3 linked regions of the Rattus norvegicus genome follow. The protein of the gene in region 1 interacts with the protein of each later gene in a pairwise test. Links are inferred from orthologs where the notes say so. Each region holds a gene or a part of one and is shown on either strand. Other genes may lie near its edges.

What was found.
Region 2: the proteins of Rundc3a (region 1) and Ccnl2 interact in binary tests that used the Homo sapiens proteins (3 or more experiments, as listed by UniProt). The two-hybrid records come from large-scale screens. The link is inferred for Rattus norvegicus from reciprocal best matches to the Homo sapiens genes RUNDC3A and CCNL2.
Region 3: the proteins of Rundc3a (region 1) and Rap2b interact in binary tests that used the Homo sapiens proteins (3 or more experiments, as listed by UniProt). The two-hybrid records come from large-scale screens. The link is inferred for Rattus norvegicus from reciprocal best matches to the Homo sapiens genes RUNDC3A and RAP2B.

The regions. Positions count from the first base shown.
Region 1 is NC_086028.1:87,851,464-87,855,666, forward strand, and holds the start of Rundc3a (RUN domain-containing protein 3A), read left to right. Parts: upstream 1-1,318; 5' UTR 1,319-1,555; coding exon 1,556-1,662; intron 1,663-4,203. UniProt on the Homo sapiens protein: May act as an effector of RAP2A in neuronal cells.
Region 2 is NC_086023.1:171,706,182-171,709,830, forward strand, and holds part of Ccnl2 (cyclin-L2), read left to right. Parts: exon of another isoform or gene 1-1,296; coding exon of another isoform or gene 1,297-1,433; coding exon 1,434-1,533; intron 1,534-1,890; coding exon 1,891-1,995; coding exon of another isoform or gene 1,996-2,003; intron 2,004-2,080; coding exon 2,081-2,228; intron 2,229-2,670; coding exon of another isoform or gene 2,671-2,673; coding exon 2,674-2,782; intron 2,783-2,863; coding exon 2,864-2,956; intron 2,957-2,962; exon of another isoform or gene 2,963-3,538; intron 3,539-3,620; exon of another isoform or gene 3,621-3,649. UniProt on the Homo sapiens protein: Involved in pre-mRNA splicing. May induce cell death, possibly by acting on the transcription and RNA processing of apoptosis-related factors.
Region 3 is NC_086020.1:147,748,065-147,750,490, forward strand, and holds Rap2b (ras-related protein Rap-2b), read left to right. Parts: upstream 1-1,322; coding exon 1,323-1,874; downstream 1,875-2,426. UniProt on the Homo sapiens protein: Small GTP-binding protein which cycles between a GDP-bound inactive and a GTP-bound active form. Involved in EGFR and CHRM3 signaling pathways through stimulation of PLCE1.

The sequences.
Region 1 (4,203 bases):
TGAGAGCAGTCTGGTCCTACAATTGGAATTCCAGGCTAGCCAGGGCTACATAGTGAGATCCTGTCTCAAAACAAAACAAGCAAATAAGCAAACAACAAAACACAAAAACAGGGGCTGGGGATTTAGCTCAGTGGTAGAGCGCTTACCTAGGAAGCGCAAGGCCCTGGGTTCGGTCCCCAGCTCCGAAAAAAAGAACCAAAAAAAAAAAAAAAAAAAAAAAAACCAAAAAAAAAAAAAACCACAAAAACATACAAAGGCAATGATTTGACACCAAAGACAAGAGACAACAACAAAGGCCAGGTTGGACACTTCATGGAAATTCAAGTTTTTCTGAGTATCAAATGGCAGTATCAACAGTTTTAAAAGACGACTCACAGAGTGGGAGAAAATGGTGCAAATCAGATCTGATAAGTCATTGATATCCATAATGTATAGTCTTAAATTCCACATTAAGAGGAGCTACCCAATCGAACACGGGCGATGTTCAAATCCTGGAAGTGGTTTACCAGGAACGGAGCAGGCAAACCGGGACGTGAAGAGCAACATGGGAACCCAGGGTAGCACAGAAGCCAAACTGGGCTTCCAAGTCCCGCCCAGCTAAAAGCTAACCATTTTTGACGGCCCTCCCTATCAATGTAAATCTACTTAAATCCTTAAAATCTACTGGTCGGTGAGGTGGCTGCTGCTAAGAACCTGCCTGGAGTTCAGGATGCCAGACTGCCAGCAACCCCAAATCCCTATCCTAGTGGTTCCAAGCTCTCGACTCAAATGCTTTCGCTGAGTTCCCATCCCCCACCCGTGGAGAGACTGGCTTGCTTGGCTAGCGCAGATGAATGCAGCCCCCGCAGAGGTAGACAGAAGAGGCAACTTCTGTGCTGCCTTTAGTTTCTGAAGTGTTAGCACCTTAATGCTACCTTCAGTCTCTGAAAGTGGCCTGGGTCGGGCTGGCAAGCCTGGGATGAGTGGATAGGGGGTAGGGGTGGGATAAGGAGGTGAGGGTCTCCATTCTTCAGGGTACAATGAGAAATCTAAGACAGACAGCACCGACTTCAGGTCAGAAACAAGGGAAGCGTCAAAGCTGAGATGCTAGGCGAGGATCCCCAGCCCTGAGTGTGGGGGTGGAGAAAAGGGCCCTTCTCTATACAATCTCCGTTGTCTCTCCGGGGGACCCCCTCCGCTCTCTCAAGGGCCTCAGTCCTTCCCCTCCCCCAAACCCTGCGCCCTTTGTGGATTGGTCCCAGGCTGCCGGGGCGGGGCCTTATGGCCCTGACGTCACCGGCCGAGGAGGGAGGGGGAGACGGGCGACTGGGGGAGGGGGTGACGAGCCCCGGCTCAGCACCTCGGAGAGCTCCCTCCCCGGCCTTGTTTTGCTCCGGAATCGCTGCTGGGGGAGGGAGCGAAGGGGCCGGCCCTAGGTGTCCAGGCCGAGGGATGGCAGTGAAGAGGACGAAGGGCCCCCGGGGGCAGAGGGCCCAGGCGTGATCCTGCGAGGGGGGCCGGGGCGCCGGGTGGGGTGGGGGGCAGCGGGCGGCGGCAGTAGTGGCCGCACATCTGGATGGAAGCGAGCTTTGTCCAGACCACCATGGCTCTGGGGCTGCCCTCCAAGAAAGCATCTTCCCGCAACGTGATCGTGGAGCGCAGGAACCTGATCACCGTGTGCAGGTGGGCGCCGCTAGCGGTCGGGGTGGGGTGGGATGGTGAGAGTGGTTGGAACCGGCTAAGAAATCTAAGGGTTGAGCATGCCCATGAGGATGCTCTGCAGCCGCTGAGAAAAGGCAGGTCAGCAAGGGTTAGAAGGAACGCGCTCTCTATCCTTCCCGGGTCCGGAACCCGGAGGCAGGCTGAAATGTCGGTCCTTATTCTTCTTGGCTAAGCCAGGCCTATGTCTGGCCTGGGGTTTGGGGGGGATGAAGAGAGTTTAATTGGCACTGCAGTTTCCTGTGAGAACCAGGAAGTGACATTGTGTATGAGTGGGGGAGGAGGGAGGATGGCTGGCTCTCTTCCTGGCAGTGGGGGCAGGGTGGGCAGAGGGGACTCAATGGGGTTGGGGGGTGGATGTCCTCCAAGTCCCCTCTTGCCACCTCTGCCAGCATGGCCTCTTGGAGCTTTCCTGAGAGACTTTCCTATGCTCGACCCTAAAGCAAGGATGGTGTTTCTGGGTAGCAGCAGCCAGTGACAGCACCAATTGTGCACAAAGGCCCTGAACCCATCCAATGAAGAAGGTGAGGGTACTCATTACCTTGTTCTAGGAAGGCAGAAGCTGAGGCTCTGAGTCCAAGTGACGATTGGGAGCCCAGATCCCTAAATCCCTGAGGGTGGGGCGGTTGCAGGGCTAGGAAAATTCTCTTTCTTGGACACCAGGAAGTAACCCTTCTCACTTCGAGCCTTCAGTGACTCACCCTCCCTGCCCTGCCCTGAGGCCCGAAAGCCACCAGCTATGCAGGCTCTCTCCCAAACCCCCACCTGTCCTTGCTGCTCCGTCTGGGATCTCCACGCCAGCTGCCTTCTCCACCTGCAGCCTCCATGTTCAGCGGGGTGCTGCGTCTTGGCTCATAGTACTCCCAGGCTCAAGACTGAGTTGTCCTTTCTTGCCAGCCCCACTTCCCTGAACATAAACCTCAGGCCTGCTCCTTCTCCTGGAAATCATGCCCACCTGATGCCCAGTCTCCCGTTACCCAGTGTTCCTTTGGATTCTGAACATGTACCGAGCCATGTTGCCTCTGTGTCAGAGCATCCCTTTCCCTGTGTCTCGAAAGTGCTGTGCACATCCCCCTGTAAGAAGGTGGCTCCAATGTGCGTCTGTGACACAAGCACAGATGCCATCCCTGCCTTTCGTACTCCAAACCTGCCTGTGTGGTTTCTGCCCTTGGAACTACAGAGTCCTAGGATCGAGTTTTTGCTTCAGTATTTATCTGGGCAACACCGGGGCAGTCTCCTAGTCATGCTCTGAGCCTTTGGTGTTTTTTCTTAGGTTTTATATCTTAGGTGTAAAAGCCACACCAAAGAATGGGTCATGGTGTGTCACATTAGATACTAGCCGGTGCCTGGCACACAGAAACATCTCAATGACACCCTTCTGGCCCCTCTCTTGACAATCTAGGTGCATCTTTTTCTCTTGCCTGCCAGGAGAACTGTGTAGGAAAAGGAGAAAAAGCCACTCGACCTGAGTCGGAGAAAGAGAGGTTCAAGGGACTTAGAGGTAGCTCAGAGTGGGGAACAAGGAATAGTTTAGGGGCTTGGGGATATGACAAATTCTCCAAATCCTGAGGGACCCTGCTACCTCATTATTGTCACGTGGTTCTCCTCCAGCTTCCAGCAGCTCCCTTTAGCAGGCTGAGGGCTCCCCTGGGCCCTGGCCTCCCTGTCTCCATGGTAACCCCAGCAGCTATCCTCCTCCTAACCAGGACCACACCATGGGGTTCCTAGAGGCTCGGAGCAGCTCTCCACTCCCCCCTAGGACAGACAGCAGATGGTTGCCAAGCTGACCAAGCCCCAGGCCTCTACTGAAGTCTGACCCAGATGACCACAGATCGGTGGTGTGCAAAACAAAGCCCAGTTGCTGGCCAGGCCAGCCTTGCCTCCTCACCTGGCCTGTGCCCAGTAATCAATACACTCTCACCTTCTCCCACCCTTCTCTGGGATCTGAACTAAAGTGGAATGGGGCAAGTGCTAATATTTCTATTTTCACCCAAGGAAAAAGGCTTTGAATCCAGCAGCCTGCTTCCCCCTAGCACAGTCTAACACTGACCGATCTGGTCTCAGGCTCCATCCTCTGGTAACCCCAAAGGAAGGTGATGGGGAGGGGGTTCCTGGTTGTGCTGTTTTCTTGGGAGCCTTAGTAACTAGTGCTTAATGACTGGAGGCTTCTAAAGTAGAGGTCAGAGGTCACTCAGCTCCTCAGTAATTGTTTGTATGTTTAATTTTTTTTTTAAAGGCAGGGTCTATTGTAGTCCTGGCTGTCCCCTAATACACTGTGTAGAGCAAGCAGTCCTGGAACTTACAAATCCTCCTGCCTCTGCCTCCTGAGTGTTGGGATCAGATAAGGCATGTGCCGCCATGCCTGGCTAGTACTCTCTTCTTTAATATTATTTATTTATTTATCTGTTTATTTAACCGTGTGTACATGTGCCACCGTGTGAGTACGGAAGTCACAGGACAGCTGACGGGAATGGGCTCTCTCCTTCCACCATGTAGGTCTTGGGA
Region 2 (3,649 bases), on another chromosome or scaffold:
GAAAATTCAGGCTGTTCCTGGATACTATCATCATTTCTCCCAAGCCCTAAAGTTGCTCTTTTCAGCAACTTAAGTGGGACTCATTCCAGTAAAGGTGTGCATCTTTAAATTAAAATACTGTAATTTATTTGAAATATAGCATTAAGTTTAAATAGACCTTTGAAGGATTTCATTTGTTTTTAGAACAAAGTTAGTGAATTAATATATTTGAATACTAAAATTTCCTTACTAGTTGTAAAGTTATTGATGGTTCTACTTGTGAATGTTTAAGCTGATTAGCTACAGAATGGCTCCTGGGAGATGGGTAGTGCTGCTACTATTCTGGCTTCCCTTCTAAATGTAGAGGCGTTGCTTCCTGGGCCAGCTGCCTCTTACAGGCATCTGTAGAATTTATTGTTTAGAATGTCAGTGGGTTTGAATGTTACCTTCTCTAAGGTTTTAGGGCAGAGATAACTGGGTGGGAACAGTTAAATCTCTCATATGTGGTACAGCCTAACATTAGGGTATGCTGTACCATTGGATATATTGGGCAATGTATATAACCTCATGATGTGTTTTCTCGTGAATTGTTTTTGCATTGTTGATAAAGCTAGTATACTCCTTGGTTTTAGCCTATAAAATTTAAATATATAAAGAAACTATTAAAGATGTAGTCAATTTTAAATGACCTTTAACTTTTCTAAAAATGTGAAGTTTTGTACTTATATATATCAGCTAAAGTATTATAGCATTCTTTAGTGTACTTAGTTTGATGCCACTTTTAGTGTTTTTGTTGCTTTTGTCTGATTTTTATGAATGTTCATTTTAAGACTCCTTGTTGAAATGGGACAGTTTCGTTCTTTGATAAGCCCGAGAAGAGGATTCCCTTGGGTGTTGACCTCCTCTGCATGATGTGCCCATGCATCTGAACTGCACCCAAGGGCCTTTCCTTTCCCAAGTGGACTCCCTCCCTGGAGCTGTGGCTCAATCATCTGGAGAAGGACGGGGCTACAAATGCTGCCTGAAGAAAAGGAACACAGGAAGGAGGACAGCTTGTCTGACAGTTGGGAGGCTTCATGCTCAGCCTTCTCATTTGAGTTTGCATGTTTCTCTGCACTATGGATTTTGAACATTTAGATTTCTTTAATCAACTACATTTTAACTAAGTAGCATTTTCTTTCTAAGCATTGTGCTTTGCATGATAGCAGGTCATAGAGAAGGAAAAGTAAAGTTAAAGTCGGTTCTCGTTCATAGCAACATTATCTGACATTCAGCCAGCTTTTTCCCCCAGTGATTTATTTCTTTCCTGTATTCAGAATGTTCCCTGTTACCTGTGGGGATTCCCAGAGTACCCAGCACAGTCCTAGTGTAGAACCCTTAAGAATAACAACCTTTGATGACAGGTGGTGGCATAGTTGCCCATGGCATTACAGTCTTCCTGGTTTTGATTTCAGGAACTACATGAATGACAGCCTTCGCACAGATGTCTTTGTGCGGTTCCAGCCTGAAAGCATTGCTTGTGCCTGTATCTACCTTGCTGCCCGGACACTGGAGGTAAGTATGTGGCTGCCTGGGTTTTAGTCTAGATTCTAGACATTTCTCCATCCTGTTGGAGATGTTGATATATTTGTCAAACTAGGTTCATTTGCAACAAAGGTTCTTTGTAACTGACAGGACATTTTCAGGTGTCACCCTAAGAATCTTACTGGCCTTGAAGTGTTTTTGTGGTGGTGGTGGTGGTGGTGGTGGTATTTTTTTGAGACAACATCTCTGTTATGTAGCTCTGGGTGTCCCCAGACTCAGAAAGATCCACCGGCTTGTTTTCTGAGTGCTGAGAATAAAAGGGATGCACCACTATACCTGGCCTTGGAGTTTTAAGGAAAGTAACATGATAATATTTTGTGTTCACAGATCCCTTTACCTAATCGTCCACATTGGTTTCTTTTGTTTGGAGCAACTGAAGAGGAAATTCAAGAAATTTGCTTTAAAATCTTGCAGCTTTATACACGGAAAAAGGTTCCTCTGTATGTTTTTGTGTTTGTTATGTGCTTGTGTTTGGCCAGAAGCATCTGGTTCTGAATGGATGATTCTGGCTTTTCAGGTTGACTTGACGCATCTGGAAAGTGAAGTGGAAAAGAGAAAGCACGCCATCGAAGAGGCAAAGGCACGAGCCAAGGGTCTGCTGCCACCAGGGAGTGCGCCAGGCTTGGACAGTGCTACTGCAGGGTTCTCACCCGCTCCCAAGCCGGGTGAGTGTCCACAGTTTACACCCCACAAAGGGATAGCAGTTTGTGACCTGACTGGTTTGGGGGTGTGAGGTTCACCTTTCTTGGAATTGAGCCTGAAGCGTACGTACCTCAATAGTATGCTGTAAGTCAGGGAAGCCCTGACGGCTTTGTGTTCATATTAATATGGACTGGCATTTTAAAATGCTGGTTTGTTTTTCATTTTTTTATCATATTTACCAAGCTGACTTGTCAACTGATTAAGTTTTTAAACTTAGACTCTATGATTATATTGTTGGAACACAGAATATGATAACTCATTCCCTGGGCTTTGAGGAAAAGTGGTGTGAACAAAAGACCTGTCTGAGTCTCGTGTATATTTTCATTCTTGTCCCAGGGTCTTATCTAGTATATTTTGTATTGAAGAAATTTCTGATTATATTTTTTAAATTCTTACTTGATTCAGTAGAATCCCCCAAAGAAGGTAAAGGAAGCAAGTCTTCCCCACTCTCTGTAAAGAATGCCAAACGGAAAATGGAAGGCCCAAAGAAAGCCAAGGGCGACAGCCCTGTAAATGGGTAAGATTATCATTGTTGCCCAGATAGCCATTGAAAGCTGAAGATGCTCCCGGTCTGTAACTACTCTGCTTCTGTTTGCAGCTTGCTAAAAGGGCAGGAGAGTCGAAGTCAAAGCAGGAGTCGTGAGCAGAGCTACTCAAGGTCCCCATCACGGTCTGCTTCTCCAAAGAGAAGGTGTGTCTGGAACTTACCCATAAGAGCCTTACCTGTTGTTTTCTTGGGTAATAGGAGGCGACATAGATGTCTCTTGGGATAGTGAAACATTGACTCCTGTTTGTTTGTTTTGAGAGATGGGGTTTCTCTGTAGCCCTGGCTTTCCTGTAACTGGCTCTGTAGACCAGCCTGGTCCCTGAATGCTTTATCTCTTTGTTTCAATAATTTATCTTTATTTTATGTGCATTGGTGTTTTAGCTGTATGCATGTCTTTGAGGGTGTCAGATTCCCTGGAATAGGAGTTACATAGTTTTGAGCTGCCATGAAGGCACTGGGAATTGAACCCAGGTCTTCTGAAAGAGTACTCAGTGCTCTTAACCGCTGAGCTATTTCTATAACTCTGGGATTTTAAGTTTATGGTTTCTCTCTCTCTTTCTCTCTCTCTCTCTTTCTTTCTCTCTCTGTCTCTCTTTTTTTTTTTTTTTGAGACAGGGTTCTTTTCTGTATTCTAGCCCTGGCTGTCCTCAAACTCATTCTGTAGAGCAGACTGGCCTTGAACTCAGAGATCTACCTCCCTCTGTCTCCCATATGCTTGGATTAAAGGTGTGTACCTACACCCAGGGAGATGGTGGCTCTTCACCTAATGTGGTTTTCTTTGAACTCACGAGTTTGTTTGCTGTGGTAGTGGCATTTAGTTCCAGTACTTAGGAAGCA
Region 3 (2,426 bases), on another chromosome or scaffold:
TAACCAATCCTAAGCGGAGGCGACTTTCCAGCCAATGAAGCTGTCTAAAGTGACAAAACCTCGGGAACAGCCAATGGGAAAACATTTGGGGGTGTGAGACTCACATCCTGGGGCCAATGAGTTGGGAGTCTGGGAGAGGTAATTTGAGCTGGCGTGTGGGTGTGCGGTGCGAAACCTTCCTACTTGCAAGCCCCGAACCTGCTCTGCCGACTGAGCATGCCCTGACTGGGTGCGGGAGCCGCGGGCCTTCCGCGGGGCTCGATCCACTAGCCTGGTTTTGGCTCTAGCCAAAGGGGAGGTAGGATGACCCGGCAACTCCTGCCCCGAAGGCTGTGGCGACCCACAAATTCCCACCCGCTAGCTCCTGGTCCGGACAGGGACTCAAGCCGAGTTCTTCGAGGGGAAATGACACGGGAACATAGTGCCAAGTTGGGGCCCGAGCCTCTCTATACCTTCCCCGGCCTGAAAAATGCCCTGCAAGTGTATGATTCTTAGAGGTGCGCAGCGGCCTGGGTTTAGGAATAGGTGTCTTATCCTTTAACAGCGGAAGCCGACGAGGAGGTCACAGCCAGCTGCTGTCTGCTGCGCCCTCAGGAGGCCCGCGGAGCCCAGACGGTGGTGGTGGCTTGGGTTTGGAGAGCTTTCCACCTACAAGCACAGACAAGCCGGGTTGCCCAGTTCCAAGATTCGCGCCGCCCCGCCCCCGCCCCGCCCAGTCCCTGATTGCCCCTCCCTCTACCACGCCCACTCCCGATGCGGCGGAAAAGCTGGAGCGGAGCTCGGGCGGGGCACCGCGGGCGGCGCACTGGGCATGCTCCGCTGGGCGGGGAGGGCCGGGCTGCGCGCGGCGAGTAGGAAGCCCTCGCCCAGCGAAGGCTGCGGGAGAGAGAGGAGAGAGTGATGGGCCGCGGAGCTGGACGCACGTTCCGTGGGGACTCATGCCACGCGTGTCTCAGCCGGACGCACAATTAGCAGCCGCCTCTGCAACCAGCCGCCACCGCCTCCCGGCCCTCCCAGGCTGCCGTGGCGAAGAGCTCCAGCCGTTGTCTTGCTCCGACTGCGCGCATTGTCCTCAGGGTCCTCCGCCAGGACTGCTGCGGGGCCCGGGACCCGCGCCCTAGGGACGCGCCCCCGCTGCCGGTCGGCCCGGCGCGGGGCTCTGCTAGCCTGTTGGCGAGCCCGTGCTACCGGGCTAGTCTCGCCAGGGTTGTTCCTGCGGAGTTGAGGAAGGGGAGAAGTCCACCCGCCCGCCCAACCCAGCCTTCCCCGGCGCGCAGCCCCGACGGGGCCGCGGCAGGCGCGACGAGGGCGCCGACGGAGCCATGAGAGAGTACAAAGTGGTGGTACTGGGCTCGGGTGGCGTGGGCAAGTCCGCGCTCACCGTGCAGTTCGTAACAGGTTCCTTCATCGAGAAGTACGACCCAACCATTGAAGACTTTTACCGCAAGGAGATCGAGGTGGATTCGTCGCCGTCGGTTCTGGAGATCCTGGACACCGCGGGCACGGAGCAGTTCGCTTCCATGCGGGACCTGTACATCAAGAATGGCCAGGGCTTCATCCTCGTCTACAGCCTGGTCAACCAGCAGAGCTTCCAGGACATCAAGCCCATGCGGGACCAGATCATCCGCGTGAAACGGTACGAGCGCGTACCCATGATCCTGGTAGGCAACAAGGTGGACCTGGAGGGCGAACGTGAGGTCTCCTATGGCGAGGGCAAGGCCCTGGCCGAGGAGTGGAGCTGCCCCTTCATGGAAACATCGGCCAAAAACAAAGCCTCAGTGGATGAGCTATTCGCAGAGATCGTGAGGCAGATGAACTACGCGGCACAGCCCAACGGCGACGAGGGCTGCTGCTCGGCCTGTGTGATCCTGTGAGGCGCTGTCTGCCGCCGGGCGCTGGCCACGCTCTGTGCACAAAGCCAAACGCACCCGATTCTCTTAATGTGATTGTCTTCTTGCTTTGAGATTGGAGACGACTTTGTTGTATTGGCTGGGATGTCCGAGGAACCTGGCTGACTTGTGTGGCCAGCATCCCTAGCCTTCAGCTGTGGTCCGAGGGGGTGTCCGTTGCTGAGCATCTGAGACCCTGATGGAAAAATGGCTCTATACAGCGTGTACGTTCCTCGTTGATTTTGGTTAATGCATTTTTCCCCGTTAAAGTAGCCATTAAGGCTCTGTATTGGCTGCTTGACACCGGCAAGCGAAAGTTTCAAGCCTGGAAAAAAAAATGGGGGTGGGGAAGCAGAGGAAGTGGAGGGGAAGGAGGCAGTGGGGGAGGGTTCCCCCAAGCAACTGTTCACAGTTCCAAGTTTTAACACAAGGAAAGAGGTCCCAGAAAATCATACGAAGGAGCCAGAAGAGGGGACAAAACTTTTTTTTCCCTTGTTTTCCAGGATTATTTGGAAATTACGACTAGGGGTTCCTTTT